Kluyveromyces lactis: one gene and its partners. The protein of the gene in region 2 binds, or shares a complex with, the protein of the main gene of each other region. Links are inferred from orthologs where the notes say so. Each region holds a gene or a part of one and is shown on either strand. Other genes may lie near its edges.

What was found.
Region 1: RRP6 (region 2) and RRP45 share a complex: the UniProt entries of both Saccharomyces cerevisiae proteins name them as parts of the RNA exosome complex. The link is inferred for Kluyveromyces lactis from reciprocal best matches to the Saccharomyces cerevisiae genes RRP6 and RRP45.
Region 3: the proteins of RRP6 (region 2) and LRP1 are in contact, whole or in part, in a crystal structure (PDB 4WFC), measured with the Saccharomyces cerevisiae proteins. The link is inferred for Kluyveromyces lactis from reciprocal best matches to the Saccharomyces cerevisiae genes RRP6 and LRP1. Residues at the interface, in NP_014643.1 of Saccharomyces cerevisiae: Asp7, Val8, Leu9, Leu10, Arg12, Val13, Ile14, Asn15, Val16, Val17, Ala19, Ala20, Ser21, Ser22, Leu23, Ala24, Gln26, Tyr31, Lys32, Phe38, Asp41, Leu42, Lys43, Lys45, Ala46, Lys48, Leu49, Ala50, Met52, Ala53; in NP_011949.1 of Saccharomyces cerevisiae: Asp3, Ile4, Lys6, Ile7, Tyr10, Val11, Ser13, Phe14, Ser15, Ala17, Leu18, Glu20, Leu21, Lys22, Glu24, Ile25, Glu26, Leu28, Thr29, Lys31, Ser32, Leu33, Asp34, Leu37, Glu43, Arg44, Lys46, Leu47, Ile50, Asn51.
Region 4: RRP6 (region 2) and RRP4 share a complex: the UniProt entries of both Saccharomyces cerevisiae proteins name them as parts of the RNA exosome complex. The link is inferred for Kluyveromyces lactis from reciprocal best matches to the Saccharomyces cerevisiae genes RRP6 and RRP4.
Region 5: RRP6 (region 2) and RRP42 share a complex: the UniProt entries of both Saccharomyces cerevisiae proteins name them as parts of the RNA exosome complex. The link is inferred for Kluyveromyces lactis from reciprocal best matches to the Saccharomyces cerevisiae genes RRP6 and RRP42.
Region 6: RRP6 (region 2) and RRP46 share a complex: the UniProt entries of both Saccharomyces cerevisiae proteins name them as parts of the RNA exosome complex. The link is inferred for Kluyveromyces lactis from reciprocal best matches to the Saccharomyces cerevisiae genes RRP6 and RRP46.
Region 7: RRP6 (region 2) and SKI6 share a complex: the UniProt entries of both Saccharomyces cerevisiae proteins name them as parts of the RNA exosome complex. The link is inferred for Kluyveromyces lactis from reciprocal best matches to the Saccharomyces cerevisiae genes RRP6 and SKI6.

What each region holds. Positions count from the first base shown.
Region 1 is NC_006039.1:952,913-955,474, forward strand, and holds RRP45 (exosome non-catalytic core subunit RRP45), read left to right. Parts: upstream 1-1,144; coding exon 1,145-2,062; downstream 2,063-2,562. Other genes in the region: RNH202 (Rnh202p), read left to right, coding at 1-803; KLLA0_C11121g (uncharacterized protein), read right to left, coding at 2,287-2,562. UniProt on the Saccharomyces cerevisiae protein: Non-catalytic component of the RNA exosome complex which has 3'->5' exoribonuclease activity and participates in a multitude of cellular RNA processing and degradation events.
Region 2 is NC_006040.1:113,330-117,447, reverse strand, and holds RRP6 (exosome nuclease subunit RRP6), read right to left. Parts: upstream 2,736-4,118; coding exon 501-2,735; downstream 1-500. Other genes in the region: PHO80 (Pho80p), read right to left, coding at 3,545-4,118. UniProt on the Saccharomyces cerevisiae protein: Nuclear-specific catalytic component of the RNA exosome complex which has 3'->5' exoribonuclease activity and participates in a multitude of cellular RNA processing and degradation events.
Region 3 is NC_006041.1:1,510,215-1,512,636, forward strand, and holds LRP1 (Lrp1p), read left to right. Parts: upstream 1-1,388; coding exon 1,389-1,922; downstream 1,923-2,422. Other genes in the region: KLLA0_E16985g (uncharacterized protein), read right to left, coding at 421-939; DNA protein crosslink repair co-factor UBX5, read left to right, coding at 2,181-2,422. UniProt on the Saccharomyces cerevisiae protein: Required for exosome-dependent processing of pre-rRNA and small nucleolar RNA (snRNA) precursors. Involved in processing of 35S pre-rRNA at the A0, A1 and A2 sites. Required for activity of RRP6 in 7S pre-rRNA processing.
Region 4 is NC_006041.1:1,129,885-1,133,031, reverse strand, and holds RRP4 (exosome non-catalytic core subunit RRP4), read left to right. Parts: upstream 1-1,333; coding exon 1,334-2,647; downstream 2,648-3,147. Other genes in the region: TRM5 (tRNA (guanine) methyltransferase), read right to left, coding at 1-1,305; OMS1 (putative RNA methyltransferase), read right to left, coding at 2,745-3,147. UniProt on the Saccharomyces cerevisiae protein: Non-catalytic component of the RNA exosome complex which has 3'->5' exoribonuclease activity and participates in a multitude of cellular RNA processing and degradation events.
Region 5 is NC_006041.1:823,844-826,516, reverse strand, and holds RRP42 (exosome non-catalytic core subunit RRP42), read left to right. Parts: upstream 1-1,378; coding exon 1,379-2,173; downstream 2,174-2,673. Other genes in the region: RRT6 (Rrt6p), read left to right, coding at 211-984; TRM3 (tRNA (guanosine(18)-2'-O)-methyltransferase), read right to left, coding at 2,229-2,673. UniProt on the Saccharomyces cerevisiae protein: Non-catalytic component of the RNA exosome complex which has 3'->5' exoribonuclease activity and participates in a multitude of cellular RNA processing and degradation events.
Region 6 is NC_006040.1:1,266,252-1,268,649, reverse strand, and holds RRP46 (exosome non-catalytic core subunit RRP46), read left to right. Parts: upstream 1-1,220; coding exon 1,221-1,898; downstream 1,899-2,398. Other genes in the region: thiamine transporter TPC1, read right to left, coding at 1-847; VAS1 (valine--tRNA ligase), read right to left, coding at 2,052-2,398. UniProt on the Saccharomyces cerevisiae protein: Non-catalytic component of the RNA exosome complex which has 3'->5' exoribonuclease activity and participates in a multitude of cellular RNA processing and degradation events.
Region 7 is NC_006040.1:813,273-815,861, reverse strand, and holds SKI6 (exosome non-catalytic core subunit SKI6), read left to right. Parts: upstream 1-1,351; coding exon 1,352-2,089; downstream 2,090-2,589. Other genes in the region: GPI14 (glycosylphosphatidylinositol-alpha 1,4 mannosyltransferase I), read left to right, coding at 1-1,033; FYV8 (Fyv8p), read right to left, coding at 2,166-2,589. UniProt on the Saccharomyces cerevisiae protein: Non-catalytic component of the RNA exosome complex which has 3'->5' exoribonuclease activity and participates in a multitude of cellular RNA processing and degradation events.

The DNA of each region.
Region 1 (2,562 bases), on a different chromosome or scaffold from region 2:
TGAATGATAAATATCATTATACTTCAGATTCGCAAACATTTAAATCCACATTTTTGATCAATGAAGAGAACAGGAAAGATGGACACATACTAGAAGATGGTTCGATACTATATGCCGAAAAATATGACTTAACTTTTAATATATGTGGGTATTATTATAGGAACAACAAAGTTACTAGTGAGGATCTAGCGTTTATTACACCTTGCGTTCCACCCGCACTCGATATGGATACTAACTTTTATACTAGTTCTGATTACCAAGAGAAATTAACGAATAATCACAGTGAAAATTGGGAGAAGATACCTCCAAAATTATGGGAAAGTTGTCTCGGGAAAATATCACATACAGTGGAAGAAGCTGGTGACAAGTATTATCGTATCGAACCTCAAATGATAGTAGAATGGCTACTGAAGAAAGTCATCAAAATCAACAACAACTTCCCTACTTCTCTTAAAATACCAAAATCGCTACCTGAAGATATAGCATCATCTCTGAAATGCATAATGTCGTGTAATCTTCTAGTTTCCTTGATCCCACAACTCGCATACCAGGATCTAATTAGACATGAATCTTCAAATCTTAACATCAAACAATGTTTCGACTCATACGACAAGTACAAGAACGAAACATTACAAACAGAAAGGGAAAGAGAGCTCCTTATCAAAGCTGCTATGTCTACAGCCATTCCAAATGGCACAAAAACCGTAAAGAAACAACCTATTCAAAAGGCTAAAGTTGTGAAACCAAAGGTTGCTAAGGGTAAAGGAAGAATTGACGGATTCTTCAAAACTAACAAAACATAAGTAAGGGCATATAATAATTTCGTAGAAATATCAGTATTGGATAACCTCTATCATTTTGACCTAAAGCTTCACATAACATGCCGTTGTTGAGCTCTAAAATAATTGATCTTCTTCCACTTAATACCTGTCTACAGGGTCTTCCTCCTAGAGAAACTCGCATCAATTTTGTTTTTATTCCTTTTTCATCTTTCTATCATATCAAATGAGACAAAGCTTATGAAAGATTTAGAACTATAACACTTGAAAAGTTAAAGAGTTGCGATGAGCAGCACTGAAAGAGAAAACCATAGCCGAAGAGAGCTTGCATTCGCATATCAAAATAGTTAAATCGATAAGAGGTGATGGCAAAAGATATAGAGATCAGTAATGCTGAATCCAAATTTATCCTGGAAGCGTTAAAGCTTAAACAAAGATTAGATGGACGTTCATATGACCAATTCAGAGATGTGAAGATCGAAATAGGTGAAGCATACGGTGATGTGACTGTTACCATGGGTAACACAAAGGTACACTGTCGTATCAGCTGTGAAATTGCACAACCTTATGAAGATAGACCGTTTGAAGGACTTTTCCATATAAGTACCGAAACTACACCGATGGCAGGTGCTCAGTTTGAGAATGGGAACAATACTGGAGAAGAAGAGGTATTGATCAGTAGGATGATTGAGAAAGCTGTAAGACGATCAGGAGCATTAGATGTAGAAGGTTTATGCATAATAGCTGGCTCCAAATGTTGGTCTCTTAGAGCTGATGTTCACTTTTTAGATTGTGATGGTGGACTAATCGATGCCAGTTGCATTGCTGTAATGGCTGGGTTACTTCATTTTAAGAAGCCCGACGTTACTGTTCTTGGTGAAAGAGTGACGGTACATCCGATTGATGAAAGAGAACCTGTGTCACTAGGTGTTTTGCATGTTCCAATTTGTGTGACGTTTTCATTCTTCAATCCAGACGATACAGAAGAAAATATCAAAGGTGAGGACAATGCAGAAATATCAATCATCGATGCTTCCTTAAAAGAGGAGCTATTGAGAGATGGTGTGCTTACTGTGACGCTTAATAAAAACAGAGAAGTTGTTCAAATCTCCAAAGCAGGTGGTTTGCCGATGGAAGCTTTGTCGTTGATTGATTGTTGTCATAAAGCATACGGAATTGTAGAAAAAATCACTGATCAAATTCATCGTGTTGTGAAACAAGATACCATTGCAAGAAACCAATACGCACACATTTTGAGCTCTGAAAATGCTCGTGAAACTTAAGGAGCATTGTATCGAAGAACTGGAAGCTTTTCTTCAATTATAGATTAATGCTTATGGTTGTACCATATCCCAAGACACTTGGCAGCTAGAAGTCGTTTAATCCATGCCGTTCAGCGCGTTTGATATTGTTCTGTACTATATGTTGTATGTATGAATATACAAATAATGTATCTGTTTGGTGGATATATGAGAGTGTATGCTGTGAATATCTTAGCGATAGTGAATCAAATATAAAGTCTGGTCATGTCTCTTTCTGTTGAGGAAGTCACTGATTCTTCCCGAGCGTTAAACTTTACAATATGTATTAAATTTGGATATCTGTTCAAGTCGTTCTTTTCAAATTCGAATCCGTTTCGTGAATTAAGTTCGGGATACAAATCTCGTTCATCCAACATCATCATGTGTTTGTCAATAGAAATTTGTGTCTCTGGTGCAGAATTCAAGTACCGCTCTTCTGCCGCCAAAATGTTCTTCGAATTAGCCCAGTATGTTACTGTACA
Region 2 (4,118 bases):
TAATAGGATAGATAAGCTCTTGGAGTCGTACCCGTTTAATTTTTCTGCTCTTTATGTTTGATCAAAGCAGTTCATTGCAGTATGCATTAAAAATTCAATCTCATTATATATACTACTTAGGGCTAAATCTCTTTTAAATGCCATGAGATACCCTTATTTATACACTCTTATAATTCCGCGTAGTAAACAAAATTTGAATATCAACATTCCTTTTTGTCAGTTCCAACATTTTCGAGAACTGTTGGCTAATCTGATGCACTGCACATGACTATAGATGAAGAAATTAGGATAGACTGACTACTGTGAAAAGACTCCTTGCAACTGGAGGATCTTATGGGCAGTCTCAGAAAAGCTCAAGTTATCCAATCTGTGTCTCAATGCCTAGGCAGAAGTAGCTATTTCTAAGGAAAAAAACTATTACGCAAACGAATTAGTGAGCGAAATTAACCTGTAAATATGACTAGTTCGATATTTATACCATTAGAGCTGCTCAAGATGCTCTATCTTTTGAATGAGACGTTCTTACCCTTGGCAGGTTTTGATTTTTTCTTGATAGGCTGTGGACCGACATGTTCAACAGAGTAAGGATCGAATCTTCTTTTTTTATGCTTCTGTGAGTTTGTATTATTCTTTGTTGAGTTCAATAGGTCGGAGCCAGCAGCATAATCCATAATCTCATGACTTGCAGGTGGACTGATAGTCTTTCGTTTGTTGTTAGATTGAGATTGTCTTTTGCGCAACGTAATTACTTCATCCTTGTTCTCTTCAATCTCTTCCTGAGAAGGATCAGACGTGATGACTTCATTTCTGTTTTCATCGTTAGATACTTGCGTAGGAGCTTCATCCTCATTTGACGGTAGCACAATACTCTGAGCTTGTCGGTCAGTGTATTCTTGTTCTAACGTCCTTGTTATTTCATGCTGACGCTTTAATAATTCATGTTGTGGAATGAGCGTTCTCGTCTTTGGTGTATATCTGACGGCAGTATTCACATCCAAGTTTGAAATACCATTGAATAGGACAGATTTCTCTGAATTTTGTTCGTTATTCAGCTTTTGAGAGTTTATTTCCGAAGCAAGTGAATGAAATATATTCTGAATGGATTTAATTTGGGACGTTGTTATTATATTGGCCAGATCGGTGCCGTTACTTTCGGCCGATTCCAAAAGTGGGATCGCAGAAGAGTTGGAATTTCCTTTGAGATCCTCTAAAGTTCTTTTGATCAAGTTTGCAATGACCTTCGAATTTGTTCTTAAATGCTCTGAAACGTATGAGCTGACAGACAATACGTTAATGGGTTCGGTTGGTGCACCAGCCACCAACGATACAAGTAGTTGGTTTGGCATCACGTAACGAGGAGATTCATCATCCCTCCTGGCGATTGTATCTCTCCATTCATAAAGTCTACGGAGAAGTAATTCCTTTGAAGCCGGAATATTGTACTGAAACATAATATTCTTCCAAGGTTCATCCTTTTCAATAGGTGAAAACACTGCTGAAGACGGAACCTTTGGTCTGAAACTACTATATTCAAATCTTCTTTTAGCCACTTTTCTCGATTCATGCAAAACATCGGACATCTTATTCTGTTCCAGTAGAGAGTTCCTTAATTTATCGAAAATATTTAGGAGAAAATGCGTATCAGCTCTTGCATATGCAAGCATAGGCTTGGTCAACGGTCTGATTCTCCAGTCTGCCAGTTGATATTTTTTTGAAGTCTTGAAATTAGCAAATCTTTCGAGAAGATAGGCCAGACTGTGTTTTGGAAAACCTAACATCCTGGAGGCATGATAAGTATCAAAAAGGCCAACAATATATAAGCCTAAATCACGTTGAAGCCATATGATATCCATGAATGCACCGTGCAGAACTTTAGTAACATTAGGGTCGGTAAAGATATCATTCAATATGTAAAGTTCCTCTCTCAATGCAATAGTATCTACAATCCAATCATGCTCCCGGTCACTAATTTGCATCAAACAAACTATACCATAGTAAGACCTATAATCATGATGTTCTAAATCGATTGCTAATTCTGTGGCTTTACTTAATTCATCTTTCATTTTGTTAAGGCCTTCAACGGTGTCAACCCAAATTGCTTCAGTTTCATCCCAGTCCTTTGATGGGATCGGTTCTGTTGCAACAAGAATGGAGTCATTGTATTTTTGGTGGTCGATCTCATATTCGTATGGATGTGGGTAATGGGACGGGATGGATTCCTCTTCTGGGACCATCTTCAATGAAATTTCGAACGGTTGTAAACTATGGGGTTTGTATTCCAATAATGGCTTGAAAGGATGAAGTTCTGTGTTATCTACAGGAGTTTTAAAACTTAGTTGAGGTTTTTCAATCCTCTTGGATGGTTTATTGTTCGAACGATCATCATCATTTAGATACTTAAGTGATGGACCTCCAGCGTTTCCACCATTTCCGGCTCTAATGTTGTCAAGTGCATGATCAGACTTTTCAAATAAATTATCCATAATATTACTTATGGATTTCCAAGAATCCACAAAACTGTCTTTCCCTTGCTGAATTACATCATTATTGGGATCAATAGACAAAAGCAAGTCGTTGATTAACGATAAAATGTTCGTAGAAGTGTCTTCTAATGATGCATTAATGTTGGAATCTAAACTTTTGTAGAAATCGATATCCTGTGCAGCCAATGCACTCGATGATCTCACAGTTTGAACCAAACTGGAAAGTAACGTATCCTTATCCTCTGAAGACATGGTGGATTAGAGTCAGCTGGTAGTCTACGGGGGATTCAAAACGGGGCGAATCGTACTGCCCTCCAATATATTACTGTCTTTGACTACCAGATGAGATGAGATGAAGAAATATTCACTAATCAAAAGAAATCAGAAGAATTCAAATCCGGGTAAAATTTAGATGTTCTCTGCTACTGATGAAAATGATTCATTCAAAGAGTCGGTAGTATTACAGAGAGAGTCAGACCACGTATCACCACCGCCGCCATTGCCTTTCAACGGCTACGTTATAAGTTAATTGGCTACTAGAGAACTAACTATATAATCTTGCATAACTTCTGCTTCCTCTACGATGTACGGATTTTTTTTCAACTAATGTTGCAGCATCTCTCATCTCAATATTATAAAATGACGCTAGAAGCAGACAGCATCAGCTGCTCCATTTTATGGCAACCAATTAAGTATAGCTATATAGGGCGGCTAACCTGTAAGAGTAAAGATGGCACAATTGAAGGAAAGTAATGCAAAATCCTGAAACATTTAAGTAGTGAAACTATACTTTAATACTACATGCTTTTTCATTGTAATCTTGGGTAGTGATTCAATAACTTAAAAGTGGGTCAATTAATGTCTAATTTCCGTCTAGACATTATGAAGTGAATATTGATGAGTATTGCTGCGATGAAAAGAACATCAACAAAAATGGGAAACCATTTCAGTATCGTAAAAGACTCATAACACATTTTGCCAACCATCTTCACAAATTCAGCGAAAGATAAATTGAATCCGAAGTTGATTCCATCCTGGCAATGAAATAAATTAAAGGAAGGTCAACTATTGAAATGACTTGAAAGCTTTTTGCCGTTGCGTAGCAAAGTGCTCTTTCTATCCATATTGGTCGGATCATCCTCCTTCATATTTCTCTTTTGTGGAATGGTGATCGGAGGAGAATCACTATTCTCATTAACAGAAGTTTCTCGGGAACGAGTTTTCCGGTGTTCACTCAGATTAAAGCTATCGCCCTCGGTTATAGATGGTGAAACGATCCTGCCCGTAGTGGATATAATGTTTGTGTTTAATCTACCATTTCCTTTATCTTTAAGATTGTTCTTGATTGTTGTACTAGGCGGTACCAAGGTGCCACCAATGCCAGGATTCATTGGATCGACCATTTTGAAGAAGTATGTGGAAGTTTTATCCGGTGAGTTCAATGGATTTCCAACGAGTTGAACAATCTTCCTGTAATAATTCTGTAAAACATTGAAACCATTGTCGGGACCTCTCTGTGAAGCGTTTTTCATGGGTATCAGCATATTGGAGCCCAATTTTTGTTCAATCTTACAATTTTCGATATTATCATCTCTTGGGATAATTCTGTATCTGACTCGTTCCAAAAACTCATTC
Region 3 (2,422 bases), on a different chromosome or scaffold from region 2:
TAACTTAGAGCAATGTAATTCTTCTATTGATTTTCCACTACAGCCGTTGTCAGATTGCGTGTAGAGCTTTCCTAGTGTCGTTGTTTGTCTTGATACTTTATTGATGTTGATGTTTACTTGCTAGTTAGTTATTTTAATGTTTTTCGAATTTTGTTTCCCCCTCAAAGAGCGACAAATTCGACAGATTTAAGAGAAAACATATACCAAAGAGATAGAATTGCGTTGGGTATTGAACCTCTATGGTTCTGCAACTGGTGCCAACAGATATTTTATAGTGTATCATTACAGCTTTATCTTTTACTATACATATTATATGTGTATATGTGTATAATTGGTCAAAAACGTTCGCATGACTCAAATAAAAGATGGATCATATATGTGATGTGTCGAATCTCAAACGAAAACGAAGATTACATCCACCTATTGGCGTTGCATCTCAGTGAGACGTTTAAGATTGGCCAAGTTCTCCAGGATCTGGCCATCTGAGATCATAATTGGGGTTTGCGTATCGTTGCGGAAGTAATCTTCTGCACTTGTATGTGCTAAAGGTGGACAGAGTCTGAATGAACCAGACCGATCCATTTGATGTTGGAAGGGGGAATTTTCCGAATAGAACGCAGTTCTATCGAGTTTGACTTTGAGATGGTTCTGCTGTTCGTCGTTCCCGTTCTTTTGGTATAGGTTCTGTAGAAGCGGTTGCGGTGGCTGTATTCCAGCCTGAAGCGATGATGACTCGTGGTTCAATAGGAAGGATACGTTCATCTGTTTAGAGTTCCGCTGCAAAAGCTGATCCATTTCTGTGACGACTTTCTGCAAATTTGATGCCAAGGTTGACCATGATTCTGCATCGCTTGGCGAGAGCGAGTGTGCTTGCTCACGATATTTCTCACGAACCTGTCGTAGCTGTGTCTCTATATTCGATAAGTCATCAGCGACCATTATCTATGCTGACGAGAAACAAACTAAAGTACTTCTTGAGCTAGGCCAGTGTTGAAATTAAGTATACTGGCGGAGGGTGGATGTTACTTCAACAGTCCAAATAGGACTACTCGCCCTGTATTGAGTACAGGTTCTCCATATATGTGGTATGAATGTGTGTAATGTCTTGCGTTTTTTTTTTTTTTTTTGGCAGGCAAATATGGAATTTTCGCTGGATAAAGAAATAGAAATATTACTGAAGTACTTCTACGTGCGAAACGCACGCAGATTATTATGCGTTTTGTTCCATTGCGAAAAATTCGCAGTATTATGTTATTGATCGAAAATTTTGATTCAGTGAAGAATACTTCATCTCGGTATTATACAGCTTCATCTCATCTCATCTCATCTCATCTCATCGCTGCCTCAGTCGACAACGACAAGAACACGGACCACATACAACTACCAGCATGGAAGATACTAAGAAAATTAAACCATACATCTCGTATCTCAATAAACAGGTGGAACAACTCAGTGGTGAGATTAACAAACTAACGAGCAAGTCATTGGACGAACAACTGTTGCTTCTGCAAGATGAAAAGAAGAAACTTGATCTTTCAAACAAATACGCATATGTATTGAGTTCACTATGCTTTTCATACATGAAAGTCCTCAATATCAAAGACCTGTCACCTATCATGGCCGAATTGGCAAGGTGTAAGTCATATATGGATAAATCTAAACAGTTAGAAGCTAAGAAAGAATCTGAAGAGAAGGATGAGGTGGAGCAAGAAGAACAAGCAAAAAGAGTTCTACAATCTGCGTTGGGAGGTGGCAAAATGGAACCTGCTATCAGTAAAGTCAACTTTCAGGGGAAACATACTAAGTTTTCGACAGAGGCTTCCACCACCAGCACTGATAAGGATGGACTGGCAAATCGAGTAGTAGACGGAACAAAGAAATCAAAACAGCAAAAACAATCTGGTAAAGTATCGAAGAAATAATTCATCTGAAATATGTCCTGGCATGTTCATCCATGTATTCCTGGGTCTTATTCTGGCATTCTATATTAATAATTAGCATCGCATTTTTCACTGACATAACAAGTTGTATAGTATAAATACACTAAAATTGGGAAACAAAAAGAAGGAAATTCCAGTTGGCAAACGTGAACAAGAATTAACCAAAGATACAGGTTTCAAGTGGCAACAGAGAGTTACAGAGACCAGTAAAAGGATTAAAAGAAGTACATTTCAATAGCCATGATATCTGACGAGGATATTTCAACTTTCCAAGGTGTTTGCGGTACAGATAACGATGAATTGTCAAGACATTTCCTTGAGATGGCCGGAGGCAATTTGGAAACAGCCATCTCGTTATTCTTTGAACATGGTGGTGAGAGACAGTTGAACAGCAATTCTGGTAATAATAATGCCGGTGCTGGTGCTGGTGCTAATACAGGGGGTTCTGGCGGTCTGAGTGGCGACGTAGAGTTTGCTGAAGA
Region 4 (3,147 bases), on a different chromosome or scaffold from region 2:
ATGGAAACAATGACAATGGATCCATGGGGTTTGGAACTGTTCGCCGTGTTCTTGAACCATCTGTTCGTATGTGAACCCGTACCTTGAATATAATCCGACGAATTCATCAAGGAATTGAAGAGCACTGTCAGGTAAGTTCATCACGTAGTGATCGAAGAACTGGTTTTTGATTGGGATCTTGGTTTCAGGAGTACGTTTAGTTTCTCCCGTGACTTTATCCTTGTACTTCTTACCTCCTGGCACCGTGATGACTCCCTGTACCCTTTCGATGAATTGTTGTAGTAGCTTGGGACTATCTCTGATGAATTCGCGGCCATCGAGGTTCAATGGTTCAACGAAGTTACCCACCTTATTGTCGATGATATTTTGCTGCATGTACTTGTAAGATTCTGGGTTCAAATCGTTACTTAGAACGATGACCTTCTTCTTTCCTGCTGGAACTGAGAATGGCCCCACCCCAGCAAACACATCACCAACTATTTGGCCCGGTTTGAATAGACTCACTAACCTTGCATGTTCTGTATGTAGTCTTGAGTTCCAGTACACTTTACTGAAATCGAAAGTGAATGAACAATCAGATTCCCTTTGAGTCACTAGCAGGTTCGGTTCACCCGCTAGGACGTTCATTTCGAAAGTTCTGAATTTGGTAGCAATGGAATCCACTTTATCGACCACGGTCTTGATCGTCGAATTCTTGTCCAAGATGACTTGTCCAATTATTTCACCAAACGGTTTGAACTCTTTCCTTAAATTCAAATGAGCTACGTGTCCCACAATAGTGAACCCAGTAGGAATCTCAGCAAGGTACTCCTCTGGTAAAATTGCATTTAGAATCTCTTCCACTTTCCAGAAGTCATAATCTAGCACATACTCATGGTTTCTCAACTCATACTCTTGCTCATCAAGAAATTCTAGTGCATTGGAGGTCAACTTCCCTCTCGCCTGCGAAACATCTTGTATACTGTCTTTTAGTATGATACCTTTGGTTATATGGTTGTCATTGGCCAGGGATTTGCTTTTCTTCTGTACTGGCTCGACATCGTTCTTATCAGTATCTTCTTTTGGTGTTTCGCCAAGTCTTATAACGAATGGAATTCTTGGTGTCCTTAATATATCGTCCTTGAACTTCTTGGTGAAGACAGAAATATTCTTTGGATTCTTCAATAGCAATACAACAACAGGAAGCTTCTTTACGAATAATGATTTATCTAATTGTTTCATGCCACGATGCACTGGTGGTTCATATTTGAACGTAGTTTCAATAGCTCTACTCATTGTTCTTCGAAGCACTAGGCCAAACCTCATAAAACTAGTCCTCCTCTATCCTTGAAAAATGGAGCAAAATAGTGTGCTATCACTTCACCAAATAAAACGCTGCCTGACGGTCGATCTTTGCTGCAACATTTTTACATCTTTTACAACGCTCATCTCATCTCATCTCATCGCTCTCTTATTTAATTTGGAAAATTTTCAGTTAACTAACACCAAAAGTAACAAAGGTACAGCGAGGAAGTCAGCACATCGAACGCCTTCTGCAGTCCCTGACATCGTTATATCATTACTTGGAACAATGAGTGATGTTATTAGTGTTATCAATAGGAACGAATTTTGGTCTAATGGCCGTTTAGAACAGGATGAATATGAATCAGATTCCAGCTCAGGTTCAGAGCAAGAACATGACATTGAGATGAGCGGTGCTCACGATTCCAATGGTGGAATAGACCATCAGGATGGGTCTATTGTCACACCTGGTGAATTAATAACCGATGATCCTATATGGATGAAGGGTCATGGTACTTATTTCTTGGAAAACAAGACATACAGTTCTGTGGTTGGCACAGTATCGAGAGTGAATAGATTGCTATCCGTTTTACCATTAAAATCTCGTTATATTCCCGAAACAGGTGACCACATCGTGGGTAGAATCACTGATGTTGGTAATAGAAGGTGGAAAGTGGATATTGGAGCCAAACAGTATGCGGTTTTGATGTTGGGTTCTGTTAATTTACCAGGTGGTGTATTGAGACGTAAGTCAGAGACAGATGAGTTGCAAATGAGAAACTTCTTGAAAGAAGGTGATCTACTAAACGCTGAAGTCCAATCGTTGTTCCAAGACGGTTCAGCTTCATTACATACCAGATCGTTGAAATATGGGAAACTAAGGAATGGTACGTTTGTTCAAGTCCCAAGTTCCCTAATAGTGAGATCTAAAAATCATACACATAATCTTCCAGGGAATGTCACCATTATCTTGGGTGTAAATGGGTTCGTATGGATAAGGAAATCCTCCAAGATGGATCTTTCCGGTAAGACCACTACTACAGGTTCAGGACAATCTGACCATTTACCAGGATCCAACAATGCAATGTCGGTTTCCATTACAAGATTGGAAGAAGAGAGTTCTTGGGAAATATATTCGGATAAAAATGATACTGTTACTGTAAGCGTTAGGCAAACAATCACAAGATATGCAAACGTAATTAAGGCGTTAGCACATTGCGAACTCGGTATCACTGAGCCAAGAATAATATCCGCATATGAGGCTTCAATGGCTTATGGTAACTTGGGACAGTTAATTGAATCGGAGACGATGGAGTCCTTAGGTCAAGACGTCATCAACTCAGAGAAGATGAGGGGAGCAGCATAGGTTGTAATCGGTAATATTAATATTTACATGAAGTAGTATTTTATAAATAAAGTGCATAATATTTACAAATAATAAAATCTTTTCGATAAGAGTACCATCATTTGGATGTCTCAGATGTTGGTTTATTATGGGTAGCTTGTAGCGAGTCTTGCTTCTTTCCATCGTTTGTGAAAGATTCAATTCTGCTCTTAACACTAGCACCAAGATACTTTTCAAAGAAGCCAATTTCTTCTTTCTTCTTACCGTCACCTTTACGCTTGGCAACAATACACCATGTCGTACCGAAATGTGTTCTTCTTTCTTCGACGACATCCAATCCAGAATCGTCAAGGATTTCTCCGATATCCAAGTTCCATCTACAACCCCATGTCTTTAAACGTTTCTCAGCTCTATCGTCAAGAATTTTGTTGATTGTATCGTATGAACCTCTTCCGTGTTCCAAGAGAATGATTCTACCGCCAGGTTTCAACAATTCAGCAAAATTCTTCAAAGATTTTACA
Region 5 (2,673 bases), on a different chromosome or scaffold from region 2:
AAACAATTCTTTTTTTCCCTTTAAGGTTGTTTCTCAGTGCTTCATACGTGTTGTCAATATCTTTTTGTGTTCTTATTCGGCCAGACAAAATTTTTTTTTTGGGTCTAATCCACAGCTTTCGCTTCAGTAATTAGATTGTGGTCTTTTCGTTTGTTATTATACCCAGTTCATTTCGTTCCAGCTAGTAATTTTTTTGTTCTTTTTGTTTAAATGGTGATATCGTTGATATATGTCCTTTTACTGATATGTTCAGTTGTCTCGGAGACCCTTAAACTGCCGATAAACCCAAATCGATTAGAATTCGATTTGTGGCCATATAAAAAATGGGAAGTTGACGGCTCGAGTGACGCGTCTAGTTATCAAACTTGTTTCGAAATGAATACGAATATTAAGGCCAAGGATTTACAATTCCTCATTGAAATTGAAGAATTTACTAAATGGAAAGTTAATGTGGATAGGTTTGGTCCAACTACGAGTTCAAAGGGAAAACAGGTTGTCAACATGGATATTTATGACGAAGACCAAAATTTGGTACAGTCAAGACATGGTTTAGAGAATGGGGAAACTGTGCTTTACGTGAGCGTATACGAACATCAGAATTTCCAAATATGCCTTATCAACTTTTCATTAGACTCCTCATGGAATGCCATAGATAGTGTGAAGCAAGTAGCAATTAGCATCACGTCTAATGATCTGATTCAGAAACAGAAGTGGGATTTGATTACTGATGATGATCTCAATTTGTTATCCCAGGGTAGAGATGACCTGTTTTCGTTGGTCAGTGCGGATTCTGGCCAGGAATTGCATGCTTTAGATGTCGATCATAGAAATCTCAACGAATCAACGTTCTCTTATCTACTGGCAAAAGTCACAATATTATTCTGCATCATTGGAGTATGTCATTTGCTGGTATTTCCAATCTTACTGTATAGAATCGTTAGCAAAGGGCAACCGACCAAGAACAAAAATAAAATCAAAAGATAAGGAATAATTATGTCCATAAAACAGTTGATGTATTTGTATATATATTAAACATCAGCACCCTGTATCAGTACAACTTCAATATCAGTCAGTCAGCATTCATCGTATGTTAGTACTTCGAACCGTGACTGACACCTGACAGAACATCTCACTAATGGCCAATTATATCCGGGTAACACCGAATATTAATGTGCATTAGCGAAAAGAAGAAATGAAAAATCTGAACTAATTTCAGTATTGACTTATATGAGCTTGAGATGAGATGCAATGAGATGATGAGAAAAGGCTTATTTCCCTTCTATCAACAGCAATAGAAACATCTGAGTTTAAAGCGAGTTATCTTCTCACGAAGCAGACCCATCTCGTTAAAAAAAAAATCAAATAATATAAGAAGATAATGGGACTTTCGTTAACTGAAAAATCGTTCCTATACGATTCTCTAACATTAGATCCCCCATTAAGACCGGATGGAAGAGGTCCACATCAATTTAGACCATTGGAAGTATCTACTGATTTCCTTCCCAATTCTAATGGATCCAGCCGTGTGATATTAAGCGGAGGAAGCGAGTGTATAGTGAGTGTAAAAACTAAAGTCGTGGACCATACGGTAGAACAAGAATTGCTTGTTGCTGATGTCGACATCCAAGGCCACAGAGATGACTCTCCATTGGTTACCAGCATGTCTTCACTATTATCCAAATTGCTCAAACAAACTATTGATCAGAAAAAGCTAATGCTCACGAAAAGGTACAGTTTCAAACTTTACATTGACGTTTTGGTGCTTGCCTCCAAATCATACCCGATCTCAATGATATCTTTCGCCATTTTCAGCGCTTTGAAAAACACATGGCTACCGAAACTAATATCGAACGACGATGACTTAGAAGTGGAGGAGCTACCCACATTCCATGATTACGATATGGTTAAGCTAGAGGCAGATGCTCCTTTATTGTTTACGTTCGCAATTGTAGGAGACGGTGTTTTTGTGGATCCAACTTTTGAAGAGAGCATAGTATCGAACAATGGCCTTCTAATTACGTGGTACAAAGATAAGGTTACTTCTCCGATAAGATCTGTTGGCTTGAATAACGATAATATCAAAGGGTTCAGTCAGCATCATTTAGAACAAGCGTTCAAGTTAATTCGTCAATACGCACCACATATTGAAAAAGCTTTGGATGCTTCAGATTAAGGAACATTTAAATAGTAAATAGGTACTTTTCAGGGTGTTTATTATAAATGCATATCTATAAATGCTGGATCGAGTACGAATGAACGATAACAGCTGTTGCAGTTTGGATATTCATGGATCTTATTACCCCAGATTGTTTGATTTCTAAGCATAAATCCAACTCCTTTAACAAATGCCCTGGAATACCATGAGCTTCTGTTCCTAGTAAAATGACAGATTTTGATGGAAATTTAAATTCAGAATTCAGTTGAATGGAAGAATCAGTCTGCTCCAATCCAATTAACGTATATCCTTCCAACTTCTTTGCATTCATGTAAGATATTATACCATCGACAGGAACTTCTTCAATAGGCATCCAGCGGTCCGCTGTAACCGCAACATTTTTGAATTGAGGATGCTGTTTGACTCTAATATCATGAATTGTCATAGTACCGACACCCAACACGTCACAGAGTCTACAAATACCTCCGAGATTGGGTGCTTTATCCACTAATGAAGCT
Region 6 (2,398 bases), about 1.2 Mb from region 2:
TAAGTCCTCGGTACAACGCTGATACACCCTCCTGTCTTAGTATCTTGTAAATAATTGCAGTGGATGATTTATACCTGTACTCGTGGTAAACAGCAGGGAATTTGGTGAAATGAACTGTTCTCTTAGAGTTCATCACTTGCATTCTGCGACGTAAAGTGTCAATGGGGAACACCATCGTCTTGGATACAAACCCTGCGATGATCCCTGAACTAGCACTTACAGGTCGCGACCAGAATTCTTTCTCGTGGTTTTCACAGACTATATTCACGGTCTCATATGTGAGAAACATGATAGCCGTGGATAAAGTAACCGTTGTCATCGCAGTGGATATTCCAGTGAAAAAACCTCGTACACCTTCATTGAGCCACATTTGTCGGCACTCCTCTGCGACACTGGTCCGATGGCTCGTTCTGTTTGCTATAAGTCTTGTCCGAAGCAAATCTAGCGGGTAAGATACCACTGAACTAGTCATTCCTGCCAACGCTCCGACCGTTAGCGTTTGTCCCTGCTGTGAAAACCGAGGGAACTTCGCAGACCAAACGTTGTTGAACCACGAGTAAGATCCGAATTGTACTGCACCGTAAACAACGTACATCGCCGTCGCCGGGATGTTTCCTTTCCATAACGCTCGAAGTCCTTCTTCTTTCATTATAGTTCTCACAGTAGATGCAATTCCCTTATATTTGTCCTCTTGTACCGGTTGTAACTGATATCGTATTTTTACAGTATCCATTGGTGCAGTTGCCATCCTAGCAAATACCCCAGAAACAGAACCAGCAATCACTGAATTGTACCATGATACCGTTTCACCTTTCCTGAGATGGTCTTTCCTTATGCCAGTGTTCATTCTCTCTTCGTCATTAAATAAATCCCTCTCTCTTGATGGATTGAAGATTCACTGAATGCTGGTCTCTCGCTCCCTTCTCAGAACTTAAATGAAGCCAGACCTACACACAATCTCCTTATTTATAAATTACCACATACATGCCCTGCTAAAAGGGTCTCTGGCACATCAATTGCATTGCATCTCCAACCTCTTAGTTTCATATCTATTCATTGCGTATCCTAAAAGTGAAAAATTTCTGAATTTGAAGCTCATCTCATCTCATCCTGACATAACATTCAAAAGATGGGGAAAGAGGGACTGTAGTGGCTCATTACCGTCTATACCGACTGCGTATTGATTGTTATATTGTACCTATAGTAATTTTCTAGCCAAGATGGAGACTACGACGCATGTTTTGGGCCATGTTGATGGCTCTTCTGTTGTTTCAAACAGCGGAACTAAAGTTATCTGTTCTGTTTCGGGACCCATGGAACCTAAGTCTAGGCAAGAGTTGCCCACACAACTTGCATTAGAGATCATCGTGAAGCCTGCTGAAGGCGTACAGAGTACGAGGGAAAAGTTAATGGAAGATCAGATCCGTTCTGTGTTGACCCCAGTGCTTGCGAGATACTTGCATCCACGTCAATTTGTGCAGATATGTCTCCAAGTATTAGAAGCGGGAGAAAGCAGGGATTATACTGTGAAAGAAGTCAGTGTATGTGTTAACGCAGCGGTGCTCGCATTGGTGGATGCTGGTGTACCGTTACTCAGTATGTGTTCTGGTACTTGTATTGGTATTACCACTGAAGGGAAGCAGCTGGTGGTGAACCCAACAGAATCGCAGCTAGCTAAATGTGAATCGGTCCACGTATACTGTCTAGAGCTGGGCACGAATGAGAACGGGGATATAGATGTCAGGAACCTGCTTCTTCTTGATAGTTTAGGCAGCTTTGACGAGTCACAGTTGTTTAAAGTGTTAGAAACAGGTGAGAAAGAGTGTATACGGTTATACACAGAGTTGAGATCAGTGATCAAGGATAAAGTCGCCAAAGATTTCGTCTGGAGACAGTAGTGGGTATACCTGCACCCATGGTTCTTTATAAATTAACTTTATAATTAACGTTATCATCTTTATATACAATTTATATATATTTGCATTTATATAATTCGCATTAGCAGCGGCAGAGAGAGTAATCTAATCTATTGGACAAATAACAAAACAATTCTACAACTTCAATGCTTCCAAGTTAGCGATGGTAGCTTCCAAGGTTTCGATTTCAGCGGCAGCGTGCTCTGATCTTTCTTTGTTGAATTGCTTCACTTGGTCATTGGCCTTTTGTTCATAATCGCTGCTGTTGACAATCTTATCAATGGCAGATTTAGACTTCAAAGTCTTGTCTAGCTTCTTTTGGACCTTGGAGATTTCTGCATCGATATCGACGTGACCCTTCACAAGCACATGCACGTTAACTTCTGGGTTGACAGATTGTAGCACACAACCTTGTGGGATATCAGCAGCAGATTTCACAACGGAAACTTCATCGATTGCCTTAATCAAAGAGACGATAGAAT
Region 7 (2,589 bases), about 700 kb from region 2:
TACATACAGGTACACACCTTTATTGAGCTTCTTGTTACTACCCAATTATTATCTAAAGTGGATTCATATGGGGAAAGTCTTCTTTGTTTTATTTGATCTCATTACAGGTGTGATGATCATAAAACTATTACAAGGTTCATGTCAATTGACAAAACAGCTAATTCTAGCTTCTATTTGGTTATTGAACCCGATTGTTATAACGATAAGTACTCGAGGAAACGCTGAATCGGTTTTATGTTTTTTGATCATATGTGCTTTATACTTTTTGAAAAGAGACAGGTTACTTATTTCAGGACTTTTCTATGGGTTATCGATTCATTTCAAGATCTATCCGATAATCTATGCGCTACCGATCGGAATATATCTCTTGTTGTCGAGTCACAATAGAAACTGCATTTGGCGATTGTTCATGATAGGGATATCGACGCTAATCGGCATAACTGCGCCGACGTATTTCATGTACAAGCTTTACGGGAGCGAATTTATCGAACACTCGTACATGTACCATCTCACGAGAACAGACCACAGACACAATTTTTCGATTTGGAACCTGGTCTTACTCTTAGAATCTGCTGGTATTCATCTTTCCCAATCTATCGAACTATCTAAGCTGGCATTCGTTCCTCAATTGACACTATGTGCAGTACTACCTTATCTATTGTGGAAATCACAGACGTTCGAAAATTTAATGAATGTCCTATTCGTACAAACATACGCATTCGTTACTTTCAATAAAGTATGCACTTCTCAATATTTCATTTGGTATTTGGTATTATCCCCATTTTATTTCGCAAATACAACCATTACATGGAGAAAAGGTGTGGTCTGTATATTTTTATGGATATTGTCTCAAGCCGTATGGCTTTCACAAGCATATCTACTTGAATTCAAAGGCCAAAATGTATTTTTCCCCAACTTATTCTTTGGCAATATAGTGTTTTTCCTCATCAACGTCTATCTACTCGGTGTCTTTATCACTGACATCAAATCCAGAACGTCATTCCAAGACAATCAACATAAGAAGAATATATAATTTTAACTTAGCATATACTGTAGCGTACTGTGACATTTTCAAAGCCACGATCGAAGTCCTGACGAGTATTTTGATGTTCCATTCCGTTCATCCAATTTCATATCCGTTGTCAGATTCACTCGCTGCTGTTTTCTTCATACTGATTATTGAAATAGAATTTGAAAAAAAAAAAGTATTCAAGTTTTGAATCTTACAAGTGAAATATGAGCTCATCGACATCTACTAGAAGAAGTACATTCAAAGCAGAGGCTGTCAGATTGAAATTAGCCCCTCCAGCTAGCGTGTAGGAAAACCCACTTTAACTAACAGAGTAACATAATGTCACGTTTTGAAATATATTCTCCAGAGGGATTGCGTGTCGATGGTCGTCGTTGGAATGAGCTAAGAAGTTTCAACTGTTCCATCAACACTCACCCGAATGCTGCAGATGGATCCTCGTACTTGGAACAAGGTAACAATAAGATTATCACATTAGTTGCTGGTCCTCAAGAACCATCCTCGAGGTCACAAGTCAATACGAAACAAGCTACTTTATCCGTTACTATTAACTTAACGAAGTTTGCCAAGATGGAAAGAAGCAAATCAAGCCATAAGAATGAAAGAAGAACCTTAGAATGGCAAGCTTCGTTAGTGCGTACATTTGAAAAGAACTTGATGCTTCATCTCTATCCTCGTACGTCAATTGACGTTCAAGTTCATGCTCTACAGTTAGATGGTGGGATTCTTGGGGCAATGCTTAATGGAATAACATTGGCTCTGATAGATGCTGGTATCGCAATGTATGATTTTGTAAGCGGGGTTTCAGTGGGACTTTATGATACTACACCACTACTAGACCTTAACTCGCTTGAGGAAAATGCAATGAGCAGTGTTACCATAGGCACAATTGGTAAATCAGAAAAATTATCTTTATTAATGGTGGAAGATAAAGTGCCTTTGGATAGACTTGAGAGTGTCATGGCCATCGGAATAGCAGGCACTCACAGAATTAGAGATTTAATGGATAAGGAGCTTAGAAAGCATGGAAAAACAAGAGTTGAAAACTCTTCGAATTGATTTTTAAACCATTAATTATAAACTTCACATAACATGTAAACATAAATGCATTCTACAATTCGGATCTTGCCTTTAACTACAATTTTTTACCTATAGATGAGAATAACCCCTTAGATTTTTCTCTCATGCTGCTAGAAAACATCTTCTTCTTCAAATGTGTAACATTTTGGTTCACCGTATTTGCGACGCTGTTCTTTTTACTCAAAATATCCGCTTGAGCATAAGCATCTTGAACATGTTTATTGACTTTGTAGTCTTTGAAGATAAAATCCTTATCAGATGTGGTAGAAGACTTCAAAGCATATTGGATCCAGCTCTGGAGTCCGGAGTCATATTCTTTTAATTGTTCCTTGTAATTGTTTAATTTTTTTAGTTTTTGGGAGTGAAGCTCATTACTGCTTAAAAGCTTGACCAAGTCTAGATTCGGGACAGTTGACTGGTGAACCACTGATGGAATTTCATCTCCTTCAGAACTGAATGCTTCTTTTAATTTTGATTCA